Lepisosteus oculatus: one gene and its partners. The protein of the gene in region 1 interacts with the protein of each later gene in a biochemical or structural test. Links are inferred from orthologs where the notes say so. Each region holds a gene or a part of one and is shown on either strand. Other genes may lie near its edges. The genes, in order: dlg1a, mitogen-activated protein kinase 12-like, pbk and kcnj2a.

Region 1 (8,178 bases):
GCTATGCATTTAAGTGAAAAGGCACGCACAAAATCTGTCTGCAAGTTACATTTTTTAATTAATTTTCTCCTCATAACGCAGCATTTTTATTAACAGTGTCTATGCATACTGGGGACAGTCCATCTATTATTAATTCAGAAGGCTAGAAAAATGTTCATGAACCGTTACGCTGGCCCTGATACAGTCTCTGTCTCCTGGAAGCAAAGAGCTATTCAGAAATTACAGTTGTAGTCTACCAGACAGGAAGCAAAGCACCCAAAAGGTCAGACAGTGAAACGTAAGCACTGGCAGAGAGCCTTTCTCAGAAGAAACTGGGCAAAGAGGGAGGCCTAGACTTTAAAGAAGCCTGAGTCTACAATGAAAGAATGAACAACTCCGGTCCAGTGCTCATGACACTCTCGCGTTGCAGTACGGCAGATGTTTGAAATACTGTCATGCCAAAAGTTTACCGTAGCATCCAGAGCCCAAGAGAACAGAACTTTTAGTGAACTTGATGCATGAATTACAGTGCCAAGATTTGATGCATTAAAAATACAATAATCAACGTTGGTTCCAGTCCTCACTTGCTGCTTCTTTAATACCTCTCTGTGCACATAAATATTAACCCCCAGCCAACACAGTACCGCACATGTGTTAAACTTAAAACCTTTTCCTTAACAGTGCTAAGAAAGGAAACTTGAGTTTTAGCGTGCACACTAGGACCCTGGATAGAGAATTAAATTCCTAACTAAATCCTTACATGACTTAAGAAAGCTGGCGAGGGCCAGTCTGAATACAGCTGAATATCTGACACCAATATTTAATTCTGTGAGCGTGGCAAAGGTTCCCTGACTGACCCAAAGAGGTGGATGAAGGCAGAACGGGAGAACACTTGTCCTTGGCCAACAGAGGCGTGACTTCACACAGCCACGAGAAATCTGCCGGGCTCTAGAAACCGCCCTGTTTTTCACTGGCTGTGTGGCAGAGAGGAAAGGAGGGCTCCTGCTGGTTAAGAACCTTGGGCCAGGAGCCCCTTCTGGTTGCTCTGTCCGTCGCTGGGAGCGTGCGTCTCCGAGGCGCGTGCAATTACAGCTGCAGGAAACGGACCGAAAGGAGTGGCGGGAGCATCAGGAAGGAAACTTAACGGCACCGTGTGAAGGCCTGCAGGACTGACTCCATCCTAGAGGAATGCCGGAACGCTGAAATATCCGAGCGGGAATCCACTGGAATCCGCTCCTGGGTTAAAACCACAGAGCCAGGCGCTGGCAGCAAACGGCACCGAGCTGGGGACAGTCACGCACGACAGTCACACAGGCTGTTCCCTACAGGCCTTCTCGGTTTAGTCTGCAGAAGTTTCTTACATTTACGACACAAAGAAAACTAGGGTGCTATGGCCTTAACCCTCAGAGCATCTACTCCAAATGTGTTCTTAAGACTACAAATGCTTAAAGCCATCTTAAGAACTTGACACGTTCTGCTGCTCATCTTGGTTTTTGGCTCCACCACCGATTTTAATTCTACTCCACAACTTGCTAGTTGAAGAAAAGAGAAGTTCCAGTATTCCCGATAGTATTTCTAGGGAACTCGGGGGCGCGATGCAGTGGAGCTGTAGGAGTGATTCACAACCACGTCCCCTCCTGCTGCCTGGGAAGTTACACCTGAGCAACACCTGGCCGCGTTGGAGGACCAGCAACAGGCTGCCCGGGGTGCAGCACACCTGCAGCCTGCAACACGGCGACCTGTCCCATCTTACGCAGGACTCACTGCTTTTAATACTGTACTGCCAGGGCAAAAAAAATAAACAAAATTCCCACGGAGCTGAGCACAGCATTGCAAACAGCAAGCCGTGCAACACCACACAAAATGACACCAAATTTTGGGAATGAACAGAGAGCAGAGGTCCCAGCCTGCAGGATCACAACAGCCCCAAGAGGGAGTCGAGTCAGCAGTCAGCTCCAACCGAAGCCTCTGTTTGCGAATCTACCGGCCGGACTCTCGCATGCAGGCCACCGTCACCGTGTTTCTGGGACCCGGGGCGCAACAGAAAGGGAAGAGGGGAGCTCATTCAGAGGAACAGAGGCGCTGGCACGGCCGTACCTATGAGGGCCTGGAAGAGGTTGCTCTGAAAGATGGTGATGACCCTCTCGATGGAGTGGCGGAGCTGGCGGTCCTCGGTCTGGCTCAGCTTCTCCCGGTACTGCTCCAGCAGCTGCAGCGCTCGCTGTGCATCTGCGCGGACACCACACTTTCCGTTAGCTCGCCGGACAACGTACGCACACAAACACACACACGGGCTGCCCCTCTAACAGGTTAAAAAAAAAAGACAACAGCCCATCGCAGCGATTTCACTTTTTCAGTCCCCCCCAGTTGCTGCCGAAACCCTCTGCAGCCCCCCAGAAGCAACCCGTGCACTCGCCTGCCCAACTCGACCCGCACAGAGATCCTGGAGCAAGTTTCAGTAAAGCAAGTTTTGTGGTGTGTGTGTGTGCGGTTTAGTTTTACATTAACACGGGCTTCTCAGCTTCCACACGCACACTGCTCTGCCCCCATGCAAACTCCATTACTCGAGAGACAGGACGCGGGGGTGTGGGGTACCTACACCCCCAGAGGGATGCGAGGCTCACCTTTCTTCCTGACTGGCATGTTCAGTTCCGGCGCTGCGGAGCGGAGCCCAGCGAAAACCCAGGAATTAAAATCTCCCAAGAAAAGCAATCCTCCGGTGCAGCCGAGCGCCCTTCCCAGGAGCAGAGTTTATCCGGGCTCGCATGAAGCCCCGGTGAGCCCTGCGCACCTCGCGTCTCGGGTTTCTGAAGAGCTCCGCGCCGGACCCGGACACGGACACGGGTGGGGGTCCCCTCGTTCAGCGCCCGGAACGGCAAACTCTGGGCAGCGGGCGAGCTGCAGGGGAGGCACACGGGAGCGTGCAATCCTGGGTCGGGGAGTTTCCTGAAACTTTGGCACCACGCGAAAAGAAGGAGAAGGGGGGGAAATCCAGCCCCCCCTGCGCAGTCGGGTCAGCCAGCCAGGAGCGGAGTTAGGCGGTGCGTACCTCCCCCAGCCCAGCACTCGCGTCCGCGGACACTCGGGGGGTTAACGCTGGGGCGGAGGACCTGCAACTCCCCTCTCCACACCCCGGCCACAAATCACACCCAAGCCCCGCTGTCTGACAGAAGCAAAGTTGAATCCGATCCTTCGCGCCGTCTCCCACTCATCCACCCCCTTCCGCCGGGTTGCTCGGCGTTTTTCTTGGGGAGTACTTGTCTGAACTCGCTCCCCCGCCTCGATCCGGCAAATCCGTTGTCAGCTCCAATACTACTACTACTACTACTTCTTCTTCTTCTTCTCTCTCTCAAACCGAACTTCTCCCCGTCTTGTTCTCTCTCTCTCTTCCTCCCCACCCTCTTTTAGTATCTCTCTCTCTCTCTCCCCCCCTTCTGTGCCCGAAATTCCAAACTTTCCTCCAAAATGGCGGCCGGCGGCTGGAAACACCGTCACGTGACCGCCCTCCCTACCCCCGCCCGGCCAATCAGGAGTGAGAGCCGGCACGGGGCTACCTTGGCACGCGGCGGGGGGGAGTAGGAGGGGAAAGGTGAGACTCGAGAGTTTCTTAAAGGCGCGACGCGAGGATGCCCTGCAGCAGACACCTGTCCGCAGCTGAGCCCCGAACAGATAGACGCGTCAAGAGCACACAGCACAAAGCGCCGCAACCCAGAACGCGGAAAGAGACGTGCACGTTATCTGGGAGGAAAAACAAAATTCCAGATCGCAAGAGCTTTTTTTTCCCCCTTTTCTGTGCGTGCTGCGTGCTTCTGTCACTTCATCTCCGTCTGTTCACCCCGGGATGGAGGCGGAGGAAATGAGTTCCTTCTGTCTCGGCCAACCCAGCCCGCCTTGAGCGCCCTGGAATGAGGGAGGGGGTGAGATTTGCGCGACGCGATCGCGAACCGGGGTTTCTCTTGAGATTAACCTACTTCTTTCGCCCTCCCGACTACAACTCCCCCCCCCCCCCGCCGCACAGAGCAACAAGGTTGTAATCTCCGTGTTTAATGAGTTCGCGGAGAGCAGCTTCCGATAATCTGCAAGGAGGAGGGCGGGCATACGCGCGCCCAGGTGAGGCCGGGCGATCGCAGGCGCCTTCGGGTGGACCTGTGCGAGGAGCGGCCAGGGCTCCGGGGGTGAATTCGGAGTGTATCTCGCTCCTCGTCGTGCGAGATCTCCCAGGTGTGCCCAGGTGTGCTGTCAGCGTGCCGAAGGAACCGGCTGCCGAGACGCTGGTTCACCTGAGTCGGTGCAGCCGGGGAGCCTCAGAGGCGGCCGCGCTTGATGCGTGCACCCCCTCCCGCTCTGGAGACCCCAGCACTGACTTTAGAGTAATTACTTCTGGGGCCCGATGTGACAAGACACATGCCCGAGCCCGGGTGAAGGTCTCCCCAATGAGAGAATCAGCCACGTTCAGCGCACTGGCCAGCTGCTTATCACAGCAGATACACAGAGCGATTTTAATACTCAGCAGTCAGGGTTTTTTTTTTTACACGAATTTCATTCATTTAAACAAAACAAGGGGTTACATCCACGCCGACAACTAAGAAAAACCACAGCGGCTCGGACTGTGGAACCTCCCTTAAAAGATTCTTCACACCCGAAGAAGGCTCCACAGGCGAAACGCTGTGTTTTCTTTCTTCTTTTTTTTTCAGCATGGAATGAACCTATGACTTGTTCCTTTACCCTTTATTGTCTTAACCTCCGTTCAAATCATTTCCACAAACGAAGCAACCGACTCCAGAGGCAGGGGCACGGTGCCGGGGAGAAACCGGACGCTGAATAAGCACATAGTGCGTCGGAGTTGACACACTTGTCAGTCAGTCAGTCAGTCACTTGCCACACCGAGCCGATTGCGCTGAATGCGAACCCCTCGGTCTGCGGGGATACGAAGTTCGGGGACGTGCGTCAAGCCGCAAGAAGAAAGGACAGAAGGTCAGGGCCTGGCCCGGTGCGGGGTGCAGTACATCATCGCCACGCAATGCACGAGGCGGGCAGAAGTTCAACTGCCCGTTAGCCAGCGGCGGCGGCGGCGGGGGGTCATCGCAGGTTCCGGAAGGGCAGCCCGGGCGCCTGCAGGAGGCGGGGGCCACCACAAGGGGGCAGGTTTTTTGTGTTGTTGTTGTTGTTGTTGTTCCTTCTGGGAGGGGGGTTGTGTTGCATCGTGTCCTCAAGGTTACCCCCCGCCCGTCCCTCCGAGTGTGGCTTCCGAGACCGCTTCAGTGAAGTGAAGAACAGCGTGCCGCCCCTGAGCTCGCCTAAACGGTGCGCCAATTAACGGCACGCTCGTACACGGTAACTCTTGATTCCCGATTAAATCTAACACCCAGGCAGCCACGAACGGAGGGGCCTCGTGCTGGCTGTAAGCGTGGGGGCTTGACCACTACAACGCTGGTGTCTCACTTTAGGAATTTGTCCTACAGTACACCACTGGGCGGTTTTTTGCTGACGATGTGTCTGTTTCCTTTGTTTTTTTTTTCTGTCCTGAGCGCGGCTGGACTGTTGTTAAAGACACTATCCCAGGTCTTTCCTACAGAACTCGTTCTCCTCCTCCCTCATCAACATTGGCCTCCTTGGATTCCGCACTTTCTTGTCCGGATGCCGGGGGGGAGGCCCTTCACAGCCGTGCTCTCAGACCTGGGGGCAGGTCGCTTCACGACGCTGTTACTTTCGGAGGGTCACGCTTTACGGGTGACCTTCCCACTCTCGGAGTTCCTCGGGCTCTGCTCCAGTGCCGAAGGGGAACAGTGTGCACCAGGCCCTGCCTGCCACCTCTCCTACAGAAGCCCACTGTGGGAGCCATGCGGGAGAGCAGGCGGTCTGTTTCTCCGCGGCTCTTCGTCTCTGCTGTCGTGACGTTGCCGTAGTACTATTCCATACGGTGCACTCCAGCGTCGTCTCAAAACGAAGAGCTAACGATTGATATCGGATATCAGAGTGGAGTGAGAGTCAGGAGGCTGGGCTCATCTTGTCTGTGCACACAGCAGACCGGTGTAAACTCTGTGCTGTAACCTGTTCATTGGCTTCAGGTGCACCAGACACAGCAGAAGTAATGGGTTACTCTGCCATTTCAATCACCTTTCAAGCTGAGCTCTTGATTTCCCAATGACCTGGATGAAAACCCCTCACTGGCCACCAGGGACCAGGACACTCCCAGGTGGCATCTTCCCTGTGGAAACCAGCCACACAGCACAGCTCCGGGAATCTGGAATTGGCAGGGAGTCCACAGGGAGCGTTTTGATCTGCAGAAATATCGTTCTTCCTTTCTGTGTAGGAGCGGCCTGATTAATTCAAGCTCGACAAGAAGCGTTCATCATTTTCAAATGTGCTCCTCGCTGAGGACGGAGAGACGTCTGGGGGAGGAAGAGGCACCTTTCTCTTACCCTGGTGATAAGCCTGCCTTTTTGTTTTTCAGTACGTTTCTGCTTTGTTCATTTCTGTTTTCCCCGAGTTTTAACTGACATTTAAAAAAACAACAACTCAGATTTGCTCATGAATACCAGAACCGAATGAACAGAAATTGACTACACAGACATTACTAGCCTTCCTTGAGAGTAAAGACTCCAATTAATCTAGAATCTGGCATGAGTCCTCGGTGTTTTAAGCAGTTCACGGCTCACGTTCCTGCAATGAGTGAATTAAAAACAGTAGACAAACTGCCAAATTATTGCATCAGTCTTTCTGTTTATTCTGTACAGAGATGCATTTTCGATACAATTAATTAGCAAAACATTTTTAAACAGAAATAAGAGGACCACGCTCGAAGCAGAGGAGATACTGAAACACTCTCTATATTTCAAACAACTGCAGGATAAATCTATTCCAATCAGCCCACTCTTGCCAACAGCCAGATGTGAGACATCTGTCCTGAAGCACTATCGTCCTCTACAGACGATACAGCCTCTAATGAAAAATGCCAAACTATCAGACTCCCAGTGGTCTAATTGTACCCATAATTAACTCAATAATTTAAAAAACCCGTCAGTTGTTTTTTGTCCTTGATATTAAGGTGTGACCGATAACTGAAATCTCCCGTTTGCCAGTCCCTGAGGGGCTGCAGGTAAGTACAAGAAAAGATCAACCAGTAGAGGCTGACATTCGGTCAATGAATTTGAAAGGCAATGAACTTTGAAATGTTTCGGAGAAGCTCCTGGCAGATCGGTGGGACTAAACGAAACCGACACACCGTGGGGAGGGTTGTGATCTGCTGGGTCTGCTTCACAAGATGAACCCTAACGGTCTGTGCTGTCATTTTGAAACAAACCTCCAACCCTTCCTCCTCCAGATGGGCAAACTCTCTTTCACGTCTGTGTTCTCACAGTGTACCCTGAGCTCCCGGCGGTCGTGGTGCAGGGATGGGGCTCCTATGGGGCTCCTATGGGGCTCCTCGGGGGACCGCTACAGGTGTGTCCATCCACAGCAGAGCTGGTTCTGCGTCAGGGCACCAGCAGCAGCTGAGGGCTGGAGCTTTCACTACAGCAGTACGGATTTCCTTCGAACCTCAAGTCAAGCCCGGGAGCTTCCTGACAGCTGATGTACTGTAATGACAGTGCAGCTGAGGGCTTATGGCATTGTACTGGCCCAGATGGTCCCAGACAAATCCAGCCTTGCTTCATATTATAAGTGTGTTTATGCAAACCCCAAGAGTTTTAGTGCCAAGTGCCCAGACCTTTTCCTTCAGTTTGTCTGAGCCGGCGGAGGACAGCCCTCACCTTGCAGGTGTGCTGTTTTTAAACAGGAAGAAGGGAAGGGATTCTCCAGAAAGCAGGGTGACTCATCAGTGTTGGCTGTTCGGTTTCGGAACGCACGGAGGCGCGAAGGAATCACGGGTCCCAGATTCCCCCTGCACTCCTTCCATGTCGCACTTCCAGTGGATTTCAGTCACTCGGGACAGGAGGTTCGGCACCACAGCTCTGAAGACTCTTCAAAGACCTGCGGGCGCGCAGCAGCGATAGCCATGAGGGAGACATTGGTGATGAAGGACAGGAAGAAGGATGACGCCAACAGCAGCCCAGCTGCAGACCGGACGCCGTGAGTGAGATAAGGAAGCTATTGTCTGATCTCTCAGAGGCACCTTTAACAGTCCCAGCAGCCCGTGTGAATGTGCTGCCTGGAGCATGCCCTGTCTCGTCTCAGATAAGGTGGGAGGGGTGCAGTCTC
Region 2 (7,499 bases), on another chromosome or scaffold:
AGGTGGGGCCTCCCCATAAAAAAAAAAAGAGGTTACTACAGTGAGAACTCAACCAAGTGCCCGAAATCCTTGGGGAGTACACACTGCAGAACAGGAGACACTTCTTTATGCAAAGAGTTGTGGGAGTATGGAACAATCTACACAGCCACGTTGTTGAAACCAACACCCTGTTTTCTTTCAAGAAAGATCTGTAAGCTTTCCAACGGCCTGAAGACCCGTGGACAAATCTCACTGTGGGAACCTGGGGACACTCACAAGTCCTGGAATCTGTCCAGAGAGATGTCTGGAGTGAACACATCCAGCAGGCCAATCACCTGTGGGGAGACAGAGAGAAGAGTCACTGTCCCGCTCAGCACGGGGAGTAACACCACATCACACCTGCCCCCCTACCCACTGGCTAGGGTGAAGAGACCCTTCCAGTCACCACCCACTTTTCATTACCCACAGCTCTCCAGGACTGGCTAATCAAGCAGTGAGTTCTTCCAAAGGCATGGCTGAAGAGAGTGGAGGAAAAACACAGGACAGGAGCACAGAGCAAGCAGGGTCACCAATGAGATCTTCCCTCTCCTTGCCAGTTCATAGGGAAGACTATATTTCTCCATGGGTGGCATGGTGCTACTGCCGTGGGTAAGTATTTCTGCCTCACAGTACCGGGCTCCTGGTTCAATACCTGGGGTGCTGTCCGTGTGGACAAAAATATACTAGTAGGTTAAGTGGCTTCTGGGACAACTGGCCCTGGTGTGAGAGCGTGTTTGGGCTGTGCGTGTCCTGCGATGGGCTGGGAGTACCCTGCCTTGTGCCCACTGCTTGCTGGGATAGGCTCCGGCCCCCTTGCAGCCCTGAGGTGGATGAAAACGGGAGGCTCGGAGAGAGCCGTACTCACGTTGTCGTGCTTCATGTGCTTGAGCAGCTTCAGCTCCCTGTAGGCCCGCTTGGCGAAGAGCTCGGACTGGAAGGGCCGGTACAGCTTCTTGATGGCCACGCGCGTCCCGGTCCGCCGGTCCCCGGCCGAGCTGCAAGGGGCAGAGCCGCAGAGGGACCGTCACACACCCGGCGGCCCGCGGGAGGGCGAGAACAGGCCCGTGAGACACCCACAGTGCAGGGCAGCGGAGGTATCCGGGCCAGGAACCGCTGTCTCGGCGCGCGCCGGCGGCGGAGGAGCAGCGCACGGCCGTTGGCGCGGACAAGCGGGAAGGAGAAGGAACACCTCCTTCCAGACGCGGAGCCCGGGGGCGGCTCCACGGCCGAAACACTGTGCTTTGGCAACTACTCCGCGCCGAGTGAGCCAGGGATTAATAACAGGTCAGAGATTAATAACACAGCCCCATTAATCCCCCTCTCTGAACTGGCTTCATCACTCTGCTCTCCACCCCCATTAATAACTGATGTGTGGGGAGTGTACTGGAGCACTATGGCTGCCGTCACATCATCCAGGTGGGGCTGCACACTGGTGGTGGTGGAGGGGAGCCCCCATTACCTGTAAAGCGCTTTGAGTGGAGTGTCCAGAAAAGCGCTATATAAGTGTAAGCAATTATTATTATTATAATTATTGTTTTAAGCAGCTGAGGGCACGCAGACTTAACGCTCTGGAAACAGAACACCAACGAAGGCCTCGAAAATGTTATTAAAACTCGTAAAACTTACAGAGCTCTAATGAACCTATACTATCTGGTTATGTATGGTGGGGATACCGCACTCTTGTTCTTACCAGTAGGAACTTCACAAGAACTCCTTGTTAACTACTTTTGACCCCCAGAAAGTAGTTGATTCACACCTGTTGATTCTCCCAACCTGAGCGAAGGTGCGACAGATAAGCGATGTGTGAATGACCTTTCCTGCGGGCAGGGCGGGTGACGTCACCGGCCTGGCGTTGCCGGGAACCGGCGGTGTTTGACCGATCAGATCGTCGAGCGCATTGCTGCGACGCCGCAGTTTGAAAACGGGTTGCTTCAGGAAATTTCGCAGCCCCTTGTGGTCTTGTCCTACTTCCGAGTGCTTTTATAGCTCCGCGTGGTGGGTGAACGACGCTCGGGGGCTTGTAAAAGTGCACTCGTGTTTTTTTTACCCTCCCTTCCACTGAGCCGAAAGGGAGACGTTTAAGGACACCCTGCCTCCACCGGGCCAAGTTATTAACCACACCTCCTCCTCCGCTTGCAAGTCCTGACAGAGAGGAGCAGGGGAGTGCCAGACGGACACTCGGCAGCTAGCGTTCATTTCCTAACCCGGAAGACAACTGGTTTTCCACCGTCCACTCGGGCACGACTGTACAAACTTCTGCCTGTGCTCTGCACAGACACGGAGAGGCTGAAATAGACCGTGCTTTCGTGGCTCGGTGCGGGCGTCTGAAACACCCGGACCTGCACGGTCGCTTCGCTCAGATGTGAGCTGCTAGGCAGGGGAGGCAGCCGAGAGGCTGCCGGAGAGATGAGAGAGAGCGAAAGGAGGAAGTAAGAACGCAAATATACATTGCGGGCTGAGCAAATAGACCGGCTCGGGCTTTCTATTGTTCCCTTGCTAATTCAGACTCGGCGCCCTCCTTCTCCTGTGTCTGCGCGTCCCCGAAACCGGCGAGACAACTCCACAAACTCCGTGGGCGGCCGCCCCGCGGGACAAACTGGCGACAGATGTGTTTCTATGAACCCCAGGCGAGCCTCACCACACAGTGCCGTACGCCCCCGTGCCCACGGGCTTCAGCTCCCGGTACCGCTCGGGCACTTCCCACACCGTCTTGTTCACGTCCTGCCGGTAGTATCCGGGTCTGGTCCGGGTCGTCATTCTCCGACCGGTGAAGAAGCCGAGCTTGACCGCACGCCGGTCCCTCCGATGCGCTCTCTCTCTCTCTCTGTCGCTCGCAGCCTCCGGAGCGCAGCGCCCCTCTCTCTCTTCCCCCGTCACTCAGTCAGCGAGTGCGGCGTGTGCGTGTGCGTGTGTGTGTTTGTCTATCTGGTCGCCCTCCCGTCTCCACGATCCCCTCCTCTCAGAGACGCTCTTCCTGTATTGCGCGCTCGGCTCTGCGCCTCCGCGGCGCACAGGTCTGTTGCCCCAAACAGACTCGTGTTTCTTTTTCCCTCGCCCCCGGTAAGAGGGCAGGTGTGATCCGCACCGTCTGACGGGAACTCACCCTGGAGCCGGAATGAGAAACATTCCTCACACGCACACGCCTTGAAAGTACTGAAACGAGGCTAGTACACACATCATCCTCAAGCTCTTGGTATGTAGTACAAGCTATTCAGTTCCAAAGGCCACAACCCACCTGAATCAATTAGCGCATCCACGGACTTTAAACCAGAAACCTGCTTCCTCCTTGCGTTATCTGACTCCTTACCTCCAGCCACCTAAGACACCACTTAACCTTTTACTATAAATCCTAACGTTGTTTAGTTGCCTTTTTTGTGCTCCTCCGCATTGCGCAAGATGAAAAGGAAGTATCAACAACACAGACTTCAAACTTCGCTTCTCTCATTTTATTTGTAGAGTTTGATGTCTTGGCGTCGTGTACATTGGGCAACGCGCTGCTCTCGCCTATATTACAACCATAACCCCACCAGCCAGGCCTTTTCCAAGTTACAGGATTTCAAAACTAAAGCTTTCGCATTTTCTTTTTTGACCTCTACAGGGTTTACTGATCCACCTGTTTTTTTTTTAACTTATCTGTAAACTTGTGTAGTTACTAACTGTACAAGAACATAGATTATGGGTACACCTTAAGCAGAGCAGTGGATACAGATCGCTCTGGCGCCCTCACTAATTACTCCCCCAGGATAACACCAAAGCCTTCTTTTCTCCATGAGGAATCCCAAAGCACCTTACATAAAGGAGAGAACCCAGATCATCCAGCCCTGGGTAACACACAGCAGCCACACCGCACAGCTGGCCAGGGAGAGAAATTGTGTGAGCAGAGGGCCTCTGACAGGCCGCCTTGCTCTTAGGCCAGCAGCATGGAGCCTCACTGTCCTGTCACTGATGTGGGCACTGGGTCTGCCGGCACTTTCAGCAGCAGTACGGGTGGCAGATCTGAAACGATCTCTCAGATGGACCAGTCTGATGTGTCGGTCCTGCTCTGGTGTGGTCACTCGAGGGCGACTGGATCTTGGATGGTCATCTGTCCTGCCGGTCTGCTGAAACCTTCTCTGCAGTCGGGACACAGTGGAGCGACTCACTCCATAGTGTCTGGCAACGCTGGCACATGACATGCCTGCCTGCAGCATGCCAATGGCCCTCTCCCTTGCTTCTGGTGACATTCGAGCCATTATGGAATGCACAGAAAACTGACTAAGTCTGCCCTTTTTCTTGCAGTGACCTAAGCTTTGAATTAAGGCCTTTTTAAAGGTGACCTGATCAGGCATTGTTCCACCTGGACCTCGCTGGGTAAAACTGCACCTAACGAGCTTTCGTGTGATTGGCAAGCTGCAATGCCTCACTGCACAAGCTGTATTGCTGGTCAGAGGGCTTAAAACAAATTGACAACGTTTTGTGAAAGTACATAACCTATAGCTATAGTATTCTCATTCCAGAAAATGTTGCGTTTTTTTCCATCATTATATATATACACTATATGTTTACTTGCTCTTTTGAATTATTTTTTATCATTGTAATAAGCACAGTCAATAAAAAATATACCTGTGCCTCTTATGAATACACAAACTCTTTATTTCATGTGTCATAAACATACTGCATCAAATTTGCTAAAACATACAAAACACAAACCCATTATAAGCAGTGGACCTACCCCTATAGGGCACCATTGCTATTCCTGAATCTCGAACCCATGTAATATTTAACTATTTGTGCATTTCATCGTCATTACGGGGAAAGTCCAGTAGTTCTGATTTTACAGACTGTTTCGGTCCGTTAAAGCGAAGCTCATCATACCAAGGATGTACTGTATTGATAACCCTCAGTCACAACTTTTTACAACAGTGTTGCACAAGGCTGAAATGTCTGAAAACGCCTGGGATCCACACAAAGAAAAGACAGCAAGTGAGAGGTGGAGGGCACTCGGCCCATCTTGCTCATGTGGTAGTTCGGTGGTTAAGTGAATCTAAAATGAATGCCAGATCTTTTTTGGAGGAGCCCAGCAGTTGGGCCTGATTCACCTGACTGTTCACAACTCTGTGTGAAGAAGTGTTTCCTCCTCTCTGTCCTATATTAATTCCCTTTTAGAATCCCGACTGTAAATCCCTTGTTCCTTGTTGCCCTATTGAGTGTGAAACAGTACCCTGGACTCTGTACCCCTTAGGATCTTGTATGCTTGGTTTAGATCCGTTCTGGATTGAAGAGATTAACTGCAGCTCCTTTAATCTGCCCATATACAGCCATACCGTGTCACAAGGACACATTATTGTTGCTCCTCTTGTTGCCAACTCTTTCTAAGGCTATAATATCCTTTTTGATGGTGGACTGAACACTATACTTTGTCTCAGATCTTACAATTTCACCGCCAGGCTTGGACCAGCAGTGAAAACATGATTATTGGCACAGTCAAATGAAATGTATGCTAATGGCAATTTGATTTTCAGATCAAGAGGTTAATATGAGGCAAAAGTATAGAGTTTCCAATTTTGTTTCAGAGTATTATTTAGCATACAGGTTTAGCCATGTTGGAACAATGGCATTTATTATGTTAAAACTCCCCATCTCAGACAAGTGTAAGTACTGGGACAAATGCCTGATGGATGTTTCCGTTCTACTTGTTAAAACGCAGTGGAGCTGTCAATGTATATCCTTGGTTCCAGTCTTCCGGGTTTACTTTTTGGACCTGCCCCTTGAGTTAAACCAAGATGAAGACCAGGGAGTTGTCACCTCAAGCAACAGTGAAGATGAGATCAGAAAATTCCATCTACAACCAACACGTTGACTGCCCCACCAGGGGAAACAACACACTTGACCTTGTTTATACTAATGTACCCGGTGCTTACAAAGCAGTACCTCACCCCCCTCTTGGACAATCTGACCACATCTCCCTGTTCCTACTCCCAGCCTACAGACGACTTCTCAAACGCACCAAGGCTCCAGTTATAACTGTAAAAACATGGACCAAAGAGGCAGAATCAATGCTTCGGGACTGTTTCGAGTGCACAGACTGGAGTGTGTTCAAAGATGCAGCCTCCCATGGATCCCACACCAATATTGACATGTATGCATCAGCAGCCACTAGCTACATCAGCAAATGTGCTGATGATGTGGTGAGCGTTAAAAAGATACGCAAACTCCTGAATCAAAAACCTTGGATGAACACTGAGATCCGCTCCCTGCTCAAAGCCAGTGATGCAGCCTTCAAATCTGGCAATGAGGAAGAACTGAGAGGGGCTAGGAAAAAATTAAGAGCTGGCATAAAATCTGCCAAGAAACAGTACAAATCCCAGATAGAACACCACTACAACACCAACACCCACGACACATGTGGCAAGCACTCTAAAGAGAGCGGGCATTGCGAAATCAACAGTATGAAATGTCTTGAATTACTCCTAGAGGAGTAAGCAATCAGCGGAGACCAGGTCATCCAAGGAAGAAGAAACCTTAGGGCTATAAAGTAAAACCCCATAAGTCAATCTCTAGAGAGCAGGGATGCAGGCATCTTAATTCACTGCGCACTACACTGCCAGAAGCAAACCTCTCATCGCCGCTAAAAACAGCGAGGCCAGACCAGAATTCGCAAAGAAGTAGAAAGATGAGCCACAACCGTACTGGAACTAGAGTTTTATGGACAGACGAGATGAAGATAAACCTGTATCAAAGTGTGGAGCAAGAGAGGAACTGTGAGCTCCTCAGCACATCACCTCACTTTGAAGCATGATGGTGGTGGTGGTGTCACGGCTCGGGCAGGACTCCAGGGCTGGCTCGCTGAATCGGAATCAGTTCTGAAGTCTACAGAAACATCTCGTCTGCCCACGTCCAAAAACTGCTTCTGATCTCATTGGACGACTGTTCACCCTGCACATGACTACAAGGACTCCAGACGCAGCACGCTCTTGACCACGGAGATCAGCAGGGAGGAGTGGAAACTCTTGACTTGGACGGGGCTCCTGATCTGAATCCTGTTGAGCTGCATTTCACTTGTTGAAGAGGAAACCTCAACACGTCACAAAGTGAGAAAGCCACACAGACGAGCAACAACTAAAAATGGCAAAGCGTCTCAAAGGAACGTATCAGGAGCCTGACGACGTCGATGGGTTACAGACCTGAAGCAGCCATTGCTTGTAAGAAGTACTGCATGTGACGAAATTTGAACACTAGTTTAATGTAAAGGAACAAGTAAAGGTTTATTTCATACTGGGAAGAGAAGAAAAGAAACAATGTTTTGGCTGTGGAGCCTTCCTTGGATGTCAAACTTTGACAGCTCCACATTGTCCTGCTGAGGGCTAAGAAGAATTTACAGATTTCTAGAAGTTTTTTAAGCACGTCCATTACTGTCTTCTTCACCCGCGATTACACTGTGATGCTGCAATGAGCTACCAGAATATCCCCCTCCTCCCTACTCTGTGGGTTGTAACAACACA
Region 3 (7,894 bases), on another chromosome or scaffold:
AGTCAGCCGCTTGCTGTAGACATTCTGCTGGGTTTTTGCACAGTGGCTATTGATCTTCTTGACTGCCCATGGAGACTGAGTCTGGCTACCTGTTCTGAAATAAGAACAATGCAAAAACAAGTATCCCTATTACTTCTGCTTGAGATGTTCATTTTTTGATCAAGGCACCATTTTTAACTTTATTTCTTAATGAAAACTACAACATTGAGTTGCTCTTTACCTTGTCTTGAATGAACAACTGATAGTTTAAACTTGTCATTGGAAGGAGATGACACATTTTAACACCTTGTTTCCAAACATGTTTAAATTGTATTTCTTCCTTTAGTTAACATCCAGTTCATTTTTATCTGTGTGCTTTTGTTTAGCCAGTAATTAAACAAGATCTGCAGATAAATGTTAAACAGTATGCAACATATACATGGCTTAAAAAACACAACTGCAGTGTTGAAGGTCTTAATGTTTTGTAATCATGTGGAGATCACTCAAAAAAGTATCAAATTCAGTTGAAATTGACATTTTACTTATAGACTAATAACAGAAAACCCTAATAATAATAAACTAACAACAGTTCTCTTGTTGTTTAGCACTAAAATAAACATCTGCTATACCTGTTGATACCTTAATACAATTTTATTTCTAACAAGGTCCCTCTGACCTAGTCCCTCTGCAAGGGGAACATAATCTGAAATCCTATCTAGCAGAGCTTCACATTAATAAATTGAAGTTTCAACACCATCTGTAAATGGGAACTACAGTACCTATTCATTTCACCTCATTGCACACATCTACAAACCTTTTCATAAGATATACATTCACCCCAGTTCCACATCCAAGTTTTTTCATGAAAGGAGATGCAGGGATTGTTATATTTCTAGCCCTAGGGGATCCATCTGTTCCAAAAAGAAAACCAAACAACAACAACAACAACAACAACAACAACAACAACAACAACAACAACAACAACAAAAAAAGTCATTCTGCCTTTCTTCCTCCTGTACTTTATGTAACAAATATCTACCTTACAGCATTATTTTCTTTTTGAAGTAATAAGGGCAATTAATTAGTAATAAGGGTGATGAAATTCACTAGAGAATTCACTAGAGAAGTCTCAGGTCACAGAACCTAAGTTCTTCACATCTGGGTAATAGTTACATATCCTGAGAAGAAACAAAGCACAGAGAACAGTGATTAAGTAATGCCAAAATGTCTGCATTTAAAAGATACCTAAAAATATCCCCTTTTTAGTCTTAATGATTTAATGATTACACTGTTTGGGTCAATTTCAGCTTGTCAATTACATTTCCTTTATTTTTTAAATTATAGAATGAAATAGATGCACTGAAATGTATCACAACTCTACTAAACTGAACTTTTTTTTCTGTTGTTCCTGTTTGCCATCAGCTAATCCAAAGACCTTTTGTATACAAATATATTTACCAGTTGCTACAATTTCCATTAGCAGAGTTGGGTCTTTGTTATATATGTGATTGGAGGGACTAATTTACTTTTGTGCATGCTTATCACTTCATTGCTCTTTTGTGTGTTTGTGTATTGATCTAGGTTACAGCTGAGTTAGGTCTAGTCTTGTAAAAGAACTAATGGTAGCCCTGTCTCTAATTGTTTTTTTTTTATATGTACTGTAAGCAAATAAACGTAACAAGCAGCAAAATACATGGGGATGGCATTTTTACTAGTATATTCTTTCCAGTAGCTTGGTAGGCACCTAGTATGCTGCCAGTAAAGACATTTGATCCAAAAAAAACTAAACAAAACAAGGTCGTGCTGTTGATGTAAACCCCTAAAGGATTCAGAAAAACAATAGCATCTGTTGGACGTCTCTTCATTACGTAAAATGTAATACACATTTAAAACCACTGATGCAGTTGCTCCTGGAATTTGTCAAAATATTGAATCATACCTACCAGGCATAAACTTTTTTTTGCCAGGGGTCACAAATGTGTTTGCCGCCTCCATGCCGTTTGGAATTACAGTGCCGCTGGGGATAAAACAAGAAAATATTTGTACTTTTTGGAAAAATTACACTATAATTACACATTATACTGTCACAATCTAACCGCCAAATAGAAAGTTTCGATTTCGGGGCTGGCCTTACTTGTATTTAACAGGAGGGTAATCTTTGTACTGAATTTTGATTCAGTCAAAAAAAACTTGTTGTTCACAATAACATTCTCCAATGGACTGGAAAACAGAAAGATTACGGAAATTTATTATACACATTCAGTTTCGTCACATTCGCAGAAAACACAGTGAAAGATCAATGCAGTTACTGCACAGAGCCGATTTTATAGCCGAGTCTTACATCGTTCGGGCTTGTTATTGTTAGAATTGTTAATTGAAATCTGTTGAAAGTAAGTTTATTTTTTGTCTCGATTCAGAAAAGTACAAGTGAATAAAGTGATCCATACAGTTTCGTTTATAAAAACGCAAGCTAATAAAGAACTTCAATCACATTGGATACGATAGCAAAAATAACTGTTTTCTTCACAACAGAAATATTTGTCATTACTTTATATTATTACAGGTTTGAATGCTATTATGTTGCTCCTTTCACGTATTTATATAAAAACACAAGTCAATCCCACTTACCAAGATCTTCCTTTGTCTACAAAATATTCTGGCGCGCCTACTTTCAAATCTTTAGTTTGTATCACATGGGCACCAAACGGCGGCTGAACAAGGACAAACACAGCGTGGCTTGATGTGAAAATGAAATTGTTTCACTTTTCACTCGACGGTTTGCTTTTTTCAATTTCGGTTTGTTGTGTGTCTTCTTCCTGCAGTCTATTCCAAAAATAAGAGAATGATTCTCTGGCAGTTGGAGCAGTGCGAAGGAAGTCATTTCAGGTTTCCAGTCCTAAAACAGAGTGAGGTACGAACTGCTAATGACACTCCTGCAATCCACTAATGTGCTAATAAACATGAAAAATCTGAGTCAAAAAGAATGACATCTATAAAGTAAGACACGCAAAAGACAAACTGAGGATGATACTGCAGCAGTACGTAAGAAACTTCAGATTTGACCCCGGAGAGTCCATTGTATGATAAAAATCCAAGATAGACAATGATTGATTTTTCAAACAGAAAAAATATATATTTCCCTTGGAAAAAATAAAAAAGGTTGCTCTTAAACGTTTCAAATTTAGTGTAAAAGTCCAAGTTTAGAGCGGAATTAACGTGAGAGGCACAGATTAGCAAAAAAAGTTCCATGCTAGAAAAATAAAAACATATTTTTGCGCTTTTGAGGCTTATCCAGATGCTCAATGCTGTTTTACGACTTTTGATAATGTACCTAAATCAAATTTCCTCAAAATATCTTTTGTCCAAAACTTCTTTACGTAATCTTTATCTTGCGTAACCATTGTGAAGCAATAAAAAAATGCAAAATGTTCACAGGCAGTGTACAACGAGAAAAAAAAGAAGTGTTTTTATTGTGCAAAGAAGTTTAGAGTGATTAAAGAATAGCAACAAATTTAGACCGGATTTTCCAAAAGTAGACGGTGCAGGAAACACTCAACACTAAAAAACAATATGTAATAAAGTCAGGTTCAGGGCGCTTTTTACAGGAGTTAAAAGAGGTCTTTTGTCTAAAATGTCTATATAGATTTATAAAAGCTTGTTCTTCCTCACATCTAAGTAATAATAGTCATTTTCACCAAAAGAGGGCAGCACTCGTCTAGGTATCAAAATATTTTAACATGATTTTCTACCATTTCTGAACACTTGCGCAGTAATTCTTAACTGGTGGGCAAAAGTAGTTACTGTTTTATGAGTACAACAGTAATTGTCATTGCATGTAACTACCTTCAACTCGACTACAAGAATAAAAACACAGGATTAATTGCACTCAACCAATATTCTTTTTCCTCAATTACCATTGCTAAAGCAAATTACAAACTCCGGGTTTCAAAGAATATTACAGTGTATCATTGTCTTGAAGTCAGAAGCCACAAGTCAGGTACCTTATACGTCGTAGTAAGAAAATGTTTTGTATTGCAGAAGATAGCATTTGCCCAGCGCAAGCTGAAAAAGAGAGGCCAATGCTAGGGTTTCTAGCATGAAATGGATTAGACTGGCTAATAGGCGTGTGGGACTCAAGCTCTGACCTGCCGGTATTGGTTTCTAGAGGAGTGGGATACTACCTGGCAAGGCAGCAATGTAGCTTCTTATCACAGTCAAAAGAGAAGCAGTTTGGACAAAAGAAGTTCAGTCACAAGTACAACCTCGTGTCCTAAGAACTGCAGACAGACCAGCTGCTACTGTCAGAGATGCCAGATTCTAGAGGATATAAGAAAACAGGATCAGTCAGGAGAAGAGTAGCGAAGAGAAGAGTGAGAGGTAAAGAAACACCAAGAGTGTGGAAAATTTTAAAAGTGGCAGAGAGAAGATTTGAGTTTAGTGTTGAAAAAATGTTTGTGAAAAGAAAGAGCACTGGTTAAGGCAGAGTACGTCTAAGCCTAGTGATGAAACAGTATAAGAGAAAGATATCTGGGTGTCAGAGAATCAGAATAAATACCCCATTGCCTAGAGTAAAAGAGTTTGTGAGAAGATAGTGAAAGAGAGTTTGATGTGTGATGAAAAAAGAACAGGAAAGAGTCCTCTCCGTTTTTCCTAGAAGGGATCAGTAAAAGCGACTGAGGATGCTGGTGAAGGCCCAAACAAAATAGTTGAGAAAAGGCAGGCCACTTTGCATACCAAAAGATAAGGTAACATGCTGTGTAGTTTATAGTGTGGATGAGAAATGTAAACAATGTATTTTTCATAAATTCTCATTATTTTTTAAGTAGGCCATGAACATTGTGACACATACAGGTCAGTTTCAAGAGGTATGTATATCTGTATATCTGAGATAAGATCACTTTATTGGCCATACAATTTCTTGTATTAGGAATTTGTATTTTTGCATACCCCAACTTGGTCTCCATGAGACACACAGACAGGGAGAGAAGCTTGGGGTCAGAGCACAGGGTCAGCCATTTATACAGCACCCCTGGAGCAGTTGGGGTTAAGGGCCTTGCTCAGGGGCACAACAGAGTAAGATTTATCTGCCAGCCGTGGGATACAAACCGGCACCCTTCCAGCCACGGGTGCAGACCCTTAGCTACAGAGCCACCGCACCGCCATGAATCCTGGCTAGAGATCATCTGTCATATATCTTTTGACAGAACCAGAGATATCTACCAATGAATCATAATCTGTCACACAAGGTGACCATACACATGATGACTACGACCACCTGTGGTGAACTGATTTAAAAGTTCTAGCACACACAGTTGGGATGATCTCTGAAATCCTGACAGCTTGTCAACCAACTATTGATGTGACTGTGCTGTCTGAACCACACCTGAAAGTAACTGCAGGAATGAAACACTGTACATAACCAGATTTGTCTCCTAGACTTCATATGCAATAAGAGACATTTTGTGACAAGCTTCCAATTGTAATTTCAGCTGGAAGGTCAAGAAACGAGGAGGATGATTAGAGGATACCTATAGGCCAAAGACAACTTTCAAAGAGCTACAGTCCTTTATGCTCAAGACTGTGGCTCAAAGTGAACAAAGTGTGTATGTGACAACAATATCCCAACATCTCCACAATTTTGGCCTAAATGTCAGGTTGGCAAGAAGGAAGCCATCACTCAGAAAAACTCACCTTGAATCCCATTTAACTTACTTAGCCATGTGGTAAAAAAGTTTTGGGTTTTATTAAATAAAATAGGACTTTTATTTTTATTTGTAAATCAAAGTGGGACATTTTGCACTAACCCAACACAACATCCAACCCATGAGCACCATCCCTACTGTGAAGCATGGTGGTAGGAGCATCATGTTATGGGGGCATTTCTTATCGGTAGGGTCTGTGAAACTTGTCAGGAAAAATGGGAAAACAAATTGAGCAAACTACAGAAAAGTCCTTGAGGAAAACCTGTTGCCTCCGGCAAAATAGCTGAAACTGGGATAGATGTTCATCTGTCAACATGACTTAAAGCACACAGCCAACCCTGCACTGGCATGATTTGAAGACTGCTGTCCATCAGTGCAAGAAAAACTTGATAGAGCTTGAACAGCTTTGTAAAGAAGAATTTCAGTTTTTTATTTCCATCCATTCATACAGGGTTTAGTGTTGGGATCATTGCATTTTATTATTTGTCTTCAGTTTCATTGTTATGCAGATGATGCTCAGATTTATCGTAAAACATCTTCCCACTCTGATATTTTGCCTCCGTCACTTATTCTTGTCCACATGGCATCAAACTGTGGTTGACATCAAATTCCCTGAAGCTATATAGTGAAATAGTGAAAGAGAGAAATTTCACTGGTGGGCTGATGTAAAAAAAACCTGAGATCTTCACAGTAATGGTGGGTGGCTTCTCCATTCACTTGTCAACTGTTGTCAGGAATAATAATAATAATAATAATAATAATAATAATAATAATAATAATAATAATAATAATAATAATAATAGTCAACTTACAGTAAAACAATATTGATTAAATTATTTCCTACAGTACCTAAAAAGAAAATTATTGAATGAAAAGAGCAGAACAGTGGAATAGACCTATACAGATGTATAGTCTGTGCTATTGCTGCCTTTTGTCAGGATCTGATCACAGTGATTCCCTGGCCAGTTTGCTCAACTAGTGTATACAGTATAACTATATTGCTCAACAAGATAGCAGCTATACACCTAAAGTACCAGCTTTGACATTAATATCAACCTTATCTGGAAGCCCCAGAGTCTCTGGCATCTAGTGGATTCTCTCTCCAGGAGGATAACATGACAACTCAGGCATTTATTCAGACAGTTTTGATCAATATGTCTGCACAGTACCGGCTGGTTATCTCTAACAAGCAGCTCACATTATGCTGATTTCTGGAAATCCCCCTCTGCACTTTTCAGACAATCCCCAACAAACTCCCTATGGATCAACATTTCTTATTTCATTTTCCCAAACAGGCACAAGTTAGTCACTAACAATTATCTGAGTACATTAGTAAAACACCACAGTCAAAAACATAACGGTGCAATTCAGAAACCATACTTTTTTAACTTATGTTTGTTTAACTCATGACTTGTTCTGATATTTAATGAAACTCAGATTTTGTGATCTGATTTTGTTGTGCTATTTGCATTTTTTCAGGTTGTGAAAATGAGCATTTAGGAAGGGCATACATAACACTCTTACTGTGAAATATGCGTGCGTATTTAAAAAGTATGTTGCACATACTGTATAGTACAGCACAAAGAGTAAGTGCCTTCACTTTCTATATGTTAGGCTGACAACACAAACACAGGGAGAGGGTAAAGAAGAAGATGAAACTCACATACTGTATATCAATCACAGGGTCCTTATAATGTGGTCATTATGTAAAAGAATGAAGGTGGCGAAATGTTTGAAAAGTTATGGAAAATTTGAGAATGCGACTAAAACATTTGTGTTGATTTACAAAACCAGCACTTTCTTTGTGGTGTAATAAGATGAATTGACTCTCATGGTTTATTTTCCAATTCGGTCATTTAGAGAGTTTAAAGCTGGTGCAATGCAAATATTATATCTTCAACTGTGTCTGATGAGGACTCTCATGCTATCCAAAAATGAATTACTCAGATGTGCTGGTTTACTTTGAAGAGCTGCTTCAGAAATGTCAATATAATGAAGCAGATCCTTAAATGTTGTTCTTTAACCAAACTGATATGTAATTCCATTGCCCTCACTTGTTATATGTTAGACTGTTGTACTTTTTAGCACAAGCAACACTGACAAATAAAACAGGTCATTAACTATTGCCTGCAAGACAAAATAACAGTGCTCTGTCATAATTCACTGCTTCTATTTAGGTAATTAAAAGGGAACTTTTTTCTGTTCTTTTGTAA
Region 4 (8,112 bases), on another chromosome or scaffold:
CACTTTCTTTCAGCAGAGCAGTCTTTTCTTTGCTCTTGGGAACCGCAAAGCTTGTTGATTCACAGCAAACCTTCAGGGATCTCTGCTCATCACTGTCCTATGGGACCTCTCGGTGAGAACTCGATCTCCACTCATTAAAAAGCTCTGCAGCACTAACACCATATCCTTTGCTGCCTTTTAACAACAAAGGACATGTAGCAGTGAAGGGCATAAAGTGTTCTGTTAAATTGATATATACAGTAGCTATTGAGATACAAGAGAACAACTTTGCTTTCTTAATAATCTAGAATTTACTATTTCTTGCACATTGCACATTAAGGTGACATTCTTCATTGCTTTTTTCTTCAATTATTTGTGGACTATAATACACATACAGAATATATCTAAACAGATGTTTTCTTGAGAAACTGGCAAAATAAGAACAAATTGCATCTCTCTGTGTAACCAGTGGATAACTTTGGCATTAACACTTCTTTAATTCAAATGATCTAAAATAACTAATTATATTTATGAGCGCTTTTCAAAAATTGCAACTTGATGAAAGTTTTATTTAAACTTTGAAAGCTGCCGTAGAATGATTTCTGGATAGTTTGAAAATCCAAGCTGGTGTAAGGCATCTGTAACTGTCTTATTCAGGCAAGTACTGTGTTAGTGGGTTGTTAATGCCAGTCTCTGAGAGCTGAGGAGGTAAGGCTTGAATCTTACGGCCACACATCAGGGGTATTTGAATGTAGAAACATAAGAGAGATTGCAAACAAGATGATGCCATTTGGTCTGTTCAGCCCGATTGGATGTTCACAGCTAATTGATATGAGGATCTTATCCAACTGTTTCTTGAAAGCAGCCAGCGTGTCAGTTTCAGTAAGGTAATTACATAGATGGCAGGACTTTCTCTTAGACTCCAGAATATCTGGCTGCTCTGATTCCAGAACAGTTATGTTTTTGTATAAAGTAAACAAACAAATAGTGGAGCATGACAGAAACACACAAAAAGACAGCATGGTACTTAACGGGCTACTGAACACAGTGGAGTTAGTGCTCCAAATCACCAACATACATGCATCACCTCTATATTATTTCACAAGCTGAGTGTAGGCTATTAAACAGCAGCTTGAGTGTCACCTGATGACCTTCCTTGCTTGTACATTAGCCACCAGCGACATGCATCCTGTCAAAATCCTGCAGACTTGGAGATTAATGAAACATGACATGTCATACAGAAAGGCTCCAGAGGGGAAAGAAGTACGGAGCATCCTCTTGAACAGAAACTTTTTTTTTCTGCACTGTCATTTATAGTGATGCAGGGTATCGCTTAATACAGCACTACCACACATGTGACTGGTTCGACTTTCATGTAATACCACTTGATTAAACAAAAGAGAAGTGTTTTAACTGTTTCTCTGACTCTGTGATGAACATGCAATGTGATAGACATGGAGTGACTTCTATGGCGCATGCATTTGTTTGTGACCACATACTGTATGCATGGCAGGGAGGAGGCAAATGGAAAATGTTGCATAAACCTCACTCTATTTTTATACACTAAAAGATCGATTTATTTCTAACGGAAATTCAATACCACTATACTGTACTTGCTTAACCCTACAACAAGCTGGGGCAGGTGAACAGGTAATGGTGGGCAGGGTATCAATGCATTCAGCAATTGCAAATGTGGATTTTGTTTGAATTAAAGACCTTTTTCTTTGAACTGCAATGTTGTACTTCATCAGTTACTTGCTTGCTTTGACTAATTCGGCGTCTGGAGAGAAACAGATGGAGAACACGGGGTGGAGGGCAGCGTGGGTGACGCTCTGATAGTGCTGATAATGACAAACTGTGACAAATGCACATACTGTACACTGGCTTGCAGACATGGTGTATTGTCATCACGTATATTTTTCTGCCAGACGCGCGTGTTCAAGTGTGTGAGCCAACGTAGTGTCGTGCTCTTAAAAAGAAGCAAACGAGCACGTAATATCGTATGATTTGGCTACATAACCTGATGGGCTCTTGCTGGCTTTGAGCTCAACATTTGCAACACGGAGTGGAAAAATACTTCACTGGATGCAGAAATGGAGAAAAAAAAGTACTTTTCAAAAGTTTCAGAAACAACTGGGCACCCCAGATTACCTGGTGAAGCCCTTCGGTATTGCTCTTTACGTTGTTATACGTTGGTCTTCTTGGTTTAGGCTCTGTATATCTTTGTGCAGTTAGCATGCTAGAGACACAATGATGATGTTTACCTATATAGGAAGTGAGGATCCCATTTATCACTGCAATTGAATCCTAAGCAACAAGCTTGCACGCAGAAAAAGTAACAGGTGCAGCACCAATAAGACGATACCCTCGGGCAGGCGTTTGTTCAGTTTCAGGGAGCAAATAGTCAAAGAAGGGGTGATTCACTCTGGGGGACAACACTCAGTAAGATCAAAAAATTACAGCCTAGTTCAAACACGGGTTTGTCCGTTCATCTCAGCGGGTACTTGGAACACCAGGAGCGCAGTTCCAGACTAAAGCGCAGAGTGATGCAACCTGAGCTATGATTGGTGTTACAAGTGTCAGTTTGAGTTTATCCATACACCCCAGAACTACTTCCACAGATGTTACAACATGTTAACACGTTTGTAGAAAACCCGAAGGAAAAGACAGTTCTCTCAATCACCCTGTGGTTTAATTTGAAGCGAACGACAAGAAGGTTGCTAACTAGTTCTTTAAACGCAATAACCATGACTTTTTGAGTAATATTTGAAAAAAAAAATATATGTGATTTCAGTATACCTATAACATTATACACGTTGAAACCTGAAATTGTTTTGGTAGTCGTGGATTTCACACTCTGGGGGACGAGCTTTGTTGCAAAATGGATACCAGATAGTTGATTATTTTACAGACTGCTAAGACTTCAACTTAAGTTTGCATGCCAATATTCATTCTAACGCCATATTTTCATACAAGACAGTACTAGCCTATGTCAGCTACTGTGTATCTAGGAATATTAATGACATCTGTAACGTATATGAATCTGTAATGCATACGATAGCACACAAATGAAAAGTTACAGTACAACTAGGTCCTAGGTCTGCGAGAGCCCTTCAGAGAATCTTTCTGAGTTTGACAGCTAAGCATTTACGGGAACTACGTAGTCTTCCAGAACTACCGCTTTTAAAAGCATTCTTGTTTTTTAGGAAATAATCTTGCTGGTAAATGTAACTGAACAGCATGCGGAGCCTTCCCGGCCACCAGAAACACAAATGAGAAGTTCTTACCTGTTGATCTCCGAAGGGAAACTGGTTACCCCGCTGTAAACAGATATAGAATAGATCCCCGGTGTTTATTGCTCTCGAGTATCCAACATTAGGTTGCCCTTATATAATTTCATATATGTATAGTTTTTTTTAAAAAAAAATTACTGTCAAAACCAATGCCCCATTCGCTACCGCGATGACTGAGAGTGGTAATCTGGCAAGCCTACAGTTTCCACCATGCATTTTAAATAGCGTGTACCGGTTCCCCCCGCCCATCTCCCTCGTAGCCAATCGACTTGCAGAAGGGCAGGCGTGAGTTGTCGACCGCTTGTAAACTTCTGTCCAGTATTGTTACTAATGGAAAGATATTGAAAGTGATTACTTGAACTAAATATCTTGAAAGCCTCCTTGCACGAAGAAGTGCTGCTGTCTGAGCAAGGTGTCTGGAGTAGGTCGGCTGCTGACACCCTGGGAAATGAGTTACTGCTACGGTTGCTCTCAATGAATGAGATCCTTAAATGGCTTATTTCTCGTTAAACGGAGTTCAGTAGTTGCCATATTCTGGTTTAACAGCGAAACAGGCAAAGTTTGATTTGCAGTTAAGTAGCGCTTGCTACCAGGTTTGATTTACTGCTGCTCTCTGTGATGAACAAGGAGCAGTTCATTATAAATAATATCAGTATGTTTGCATGCTTGCATTTCTATCTACTGCGGTCTGAAGAGGCGACAGAATATATTCGCTTTACTGTGGGTGGTTCCGTACTGGTGGTGTCCAGTAATGTTAATTGCACATTCTGAGAGTTTACTTTATCTTTGAAAACAGGAGGTAAAACGTGACGGAACTGTTAAAGCCAAGTTGTTAGATTTCTGTGGCGTATCTTTTACGTCTTTTTTTGCGGAAACCATAATGCAAAATGACAACATTACGTAGTACTGTGAAACCGAATCTCGGTTCCCACAACTGCATCCGATCAACAAAACAGCTGCCACAAGTTATTATATAAATGATATATATTTCCTAGTGTATATGTTTTCACTTTCTTCTGGGCACTAAATCGGCGAACTTTAAAATCCCGTAGACTGCATGAAAAGGAAACAAACTTGAGTTGTTAGCTTTGTCTAGAACAAAACGTTTTCTTCTTTAACGGGAAACAGGAACATAAACCTTTGCTAGTAATATTTCTAGACCTCGTACGTGTCAATAAACAGCATTTAAAATATCTTTGAATCAATCAGAAGTCTGACGCCGACCTGTAGGCGGTAGTTTTCAGTTACAGGCTACAGTAAAATAATAATAAGATCCCTATTGCGTGTGACTGTCAAGAAATGTTTTGTTTCTATGTCTGAATAGCATTTGTTTTTAACCACTCATTCCACTAATCACGAACATGGTAACGTTACCAGCTGCATATAGGAACCTACAGTATATGAGTAGTTACTATTAAGGATGTTCTTCCCGGACGATCTTAAATTGTAAATGTCCGCGTTTGTTTTTATTCACGACAATGAGAAAGTTCGCGTTTTAATTAAAAAAGATGGTTAGCGTGCCGCTTTCGTTTTCTGCACTATTTAATTTCAGTAACCTGCAGATCCAAAGACCAACGCTCAAAAAGTTCTATCTGTGCTGACAGCTGCGCCCGGAATGCTGCAGATCCATCTGCGGCAAGTCACGCTTTTGGGTCATCATCACGAAATGATGCGTACATACTGTAGGACTGCACGCGTTTTGCTTTCATCCTACTCATCTCAGGGCCTCATGGTGTTGTTATTATTAGCCAATGGTGATGCAATTTGGCTGCTTCTCTCGCGTTCAGTTTAGTTCCACATTAACTCATTGCTGTTAACCTGCACTCCGTGAGCCCCTTCAATAGGCTACTGTTCTGCTGATGTGAATCCAGTCTTCACATACAGTATATAAAAGCTGAATGCTCAGGGTAACGCGCTTGTGTCTCAACTGTATTATCACGGAGTAAAGAGATATGTCAATAACCTCTCTCAGTTTCATTTACTGAACAAAAGACCTAGATTTGGTCTGCGGTAGCTCATATGCACTGTAATGGTGTGTTCCTTTAACAAGCATGTTTCTCTGATCTCCAAAATAGTTTTGATCTTGATTTTAAAAAAAATCATTTCATTGATGTATGTCCAGCACAGTCTTAGAGACTGTAAGAATATAGAAATTGCCTTCAATGGTGCTTCTCATTACACAGAGCTTGCCAGGGTTTTTATTTGTGTCCATGTGCGTTTTCTTTAATGTCAATCAAAGGATGCTCAAGACTGAAGAGCAACCAAATGGCTCTTAATGGAGTGTTGAAAGGGTTGAAGCATCAGGAGCATGGAGCTTAGATCTCTGACTCACCATGCACATCCTGGGTTAGACTCTGGGCAAGACGTTTGAATGCTCTCCTCATATTCCTGTGTGTTATCTCACACTTAAAAAAAGCACATGCTGACTGGGTTACGTGGGGTCTCCATATTGCCCCTGTGTGTGTCTGCGTGTGCACCCTGTGATGGACTGGTGACCCGCGGTGACTCCCAGTGTCTGCCTGGTTAGGCTCCCCCTCTCTTTGGTTGGACGTGCATTGGTCGAATCAACTTTGGATAATAGATGGATGTTTGAGCTGTAATAGTATTGATATTTGATAGCCTACAGTGAGACAGGGCACCAGTTTGTTGTGTTTTATTCTGGTTTCCTTTGTCGGGCGTTTGGCATGACTATGAATATTTAAAAATGAACGTTTGCTACAATAAACTGCCGCGGTGACATTGTACAAAACGCACACATCACGCACACGTATGTGATAGTTTTAAGCAGAAACAGCTTTGTGAAACATCTCCCCAGCTTGTGCTACATACTCTGTACTTTGGATATACAGTTTCTCTCTGGAGTGCGTAGAAAGTGTTGAACCTAGCCTAGGCCGTCGAAACTGAAACCATTTCCACAGCTGCCTGCTTTGGACTGGAGGAACCTGTTGCTTGCTGTTAGAGCTTAAAAACATGTCGTTCATTTCGCAACGTCGTCCTCATTAGAAAATAAACAGTTTTTTTTTATTCGTTATCTTTTTAGTATCGCGAATTCTTCAGGCGTTTGTTGAATCTGATATCATGACACGCACACTGATCATTATCACTGTGCCACGAACTGCCCCCGTACTTGTACAGAAGTGATTGTTTTTATTACCTTTTTGCTTCTGCTATAAATAACGGGGAGTAATTTTAGCTCGGGCATGCTGCGTGAGTTGGCTTTCGGTGTCTGTGTTTAGTTTTCATGGGCGATTAAAAGTTACTGGGAACAAAGTTGGTACTTCATTCTGCCACAAGGTGGAGAACTGGAGATTCTTACCTAATAAAATACAACGTTACGTTTCCCCGTTTTTAGATACTAGTCATCGAACAGAGAGCAGAAACGCAATGTTTCGAAAATACAGAAGATAAATTTTCCCGTTGTCTTAGACACTTCGTGTCAGAGCTCAGTGCGTGTGGCCATTGCTTACGGGACGGGTTTAAGACTAGTAAGCATTGCATTTGAACATTGAATGGGAGTAAAATATTAGCGTCTCACAAGCAATACTTAGCTTGCAAAACGCTAGTGGTTAATTATCACTTTATTGCAGTAAATAACGTATTCTCTGATACTCTAACCATGGATACAAAGTCCTTTACATACTGTATGAGTGTGCTTTGAACAACATTGCTTGGATAAAGAACAGGTCGTATAACCTAATTCCCCAGAAATTAATTATGACACCTGAATGATACTCGGTGTTAAATGTTTTCCATAAAGCTAAGTACACTGAGAGCTTGCAGGTGTTAGAAGGTTTAGTTTGGCTCCAGGAGGAGTTAAGCTAAAAGAAAAATGAGCTTGCTTTTCTGTAGAGAAATATGCTCTAAATATGTAATCCAAAAAGTGTACAAAAATAAAGTAGGCTTTAATTCCATTAGTTAATTATAATCAAAGGTCAATTTAAACGTCACGACGTCTGTGCAAATCAGATTTTTTAAAAGTAGAGGAAACAATCAAATAAGTTAATACAGACTGCAGTAGGACCCATAATCTTATTTTCCAAGGTAAGGGAAATTGATTAGATGGGCACGATTTCCTCTGACATTTTTTCTGTTTTGTAAATAAAAAAAGATTAACTGAAAAATCTAGCTTTTCCAACTGTTACAATGTGAAGTAAGCCATTTCTTACTTCTGTTGAGATCAATTCCCTCAGTATCTACTATACCTAGAGCATGGTGAGAATTCCAGCATAGCTTGTATTGTTGACATCCATGACGTTTTCTACCTTACCCAGCAGCCATATCACCCTGCAACTCACACCTGGCAACCCACTGAAGCTCAGCAGGTGTGAGCCTGGTCAGTACCTGGATGGGAGACCTCCTGGGGAAAACCAAGGTTGCTGCTGGAAGAGGTGTTAGTGGGGCCAGTGGGTCCATGTGGGTCCTAATGCCCCAGTACAGTGATGGGGACACTATACTGTAAACAGGCGCTGTTCTTCGGATGAGGTCCTGTGGTCTGTGGTCATTAAAAATCCCAGGGCAACTCTCGAAAAGAGTAGGGGTGTAACCCCGGCATCCTGGCCAAATTTCCCATTGGCCCTTACCAATCATGGCCTCCTCATAATCCCCATCTTTGAATTGGCTTCATTACTTTGCTTTCCTCCCCACTGAGAGCTGGTGTGCGGTGAGCGTTCTGGCGCACTATGGCTGCCGTCGGATCATCCAGGTGGGGCTGCACATTGGTGGGAGTCCCCATTACCTGTAAAGTGCTTTGAGTGGAGTGTCCAGGAAAAGTGCTATATAAGTGTAAGCAGTTATTATTATTATTACCTGGTTTATAGTAAAGTAATTTTCCTCTGTTGGA

Evidence for each region.
Region 2: the proteins of dlg1a (region 1) and mitogen-activated protein kinase 12-like interact in a test that uses a peptide from one of them, tested with the Homo sapiens proteins (2 studies listed by IntAct, with this or other methods). The link is inferred for Lepisosteus oculatus from reciprocal best matches to the Homo sapiens genes DLG1 and MAPK12.
Region 3: the proteins of dlg1a (region 1) and pbk form a complex in vitro, tested with the Homo sapiens proteins (2 studies listed by BioGRID and IntAct, with this or other methods). The link is inferred for Lepisosteus oculatus from reciprocal best matches to the Homo sapiens genes DLG1 and PBK.
Region 4: the proteins of dlg1a (region 1) and kcnj2a form a complex in vitro, tested with the Homo sapiens proteins (2 studies listed by BioGRID and IntAct, with this or other methods). The link is inferred for Lepisosteus oculatus from reciprocal best matches to the Homo sapiens genes DLG1 and KCNJ2.

What each region holds. Positions count from the first base shown.
Region 1 is NC_090708.1:2,032,980-2,041,157, reverse strand, and holds the start of dlg1a (disks large homolog 1), read right to left. Parts: upstream 3,395-8,178; 5' UTR 2,623-3,394; coding exon 2,604-2,622; intron 2,209-2,603; coding exon 2,077-2,208; intron 1-2,076. UniProt on the Homo sapiens protein: Essential multidomain scaffolding protein required for normal development. Recruits channels, receptors and signaling molecules to discrete plasma membrane domains in polarized cells.
Region 2 is NC_090702.1:48,040,649-48,048,147, reverse strand, and holds the start of mitogen-activated protein kinase 12-like, read right to left. Parts: upstream 3,197-7,499; 5' UTR 2,776-3,196; coding exon 2,657-2,775; intron 1,014-2,656; coding exon 884-1,013; intron 315-883; coding exon 256-314; intron 1-255. UniProt on the Homo sapiens protein: Serine/threonine kinase which acts as an essential component of the MAP kinase signal transduction pathway.
Region 3 is NC_090697.1:56,986,322-56,994,215, forward strand, and holds the start of pbk (lymphokine-activated killer T-cell-originated protein kinase homolog), read right to left. Parts: upstream 3,303-7,894; 5' UTR 2,608-3,302; intron 2,200-2,607; 5' UTR 2,114-2,199; intron 1,997-2,113; 5' UTR 1,975-1,996; coding exon 1,923-1,974; intron 891-1,922; coding exon 794-890; intron 95-793; coding exon 1-94. UniProt on the Homo sapiens protein: Phosphorylates MAP kinase p38. Seems to be active only in mitosis. May also play a role in the activation of lymphoid cells.
Region 4 is NC_090704.1:42,979,720-42,987,831, forward strand, and holds the start of kcnj2a (inward rectifier potassium channel 2a), read right to left. Parts: upstream 3,446-8,112; 5' UTR 3,267-3,445; intron 1-3,266.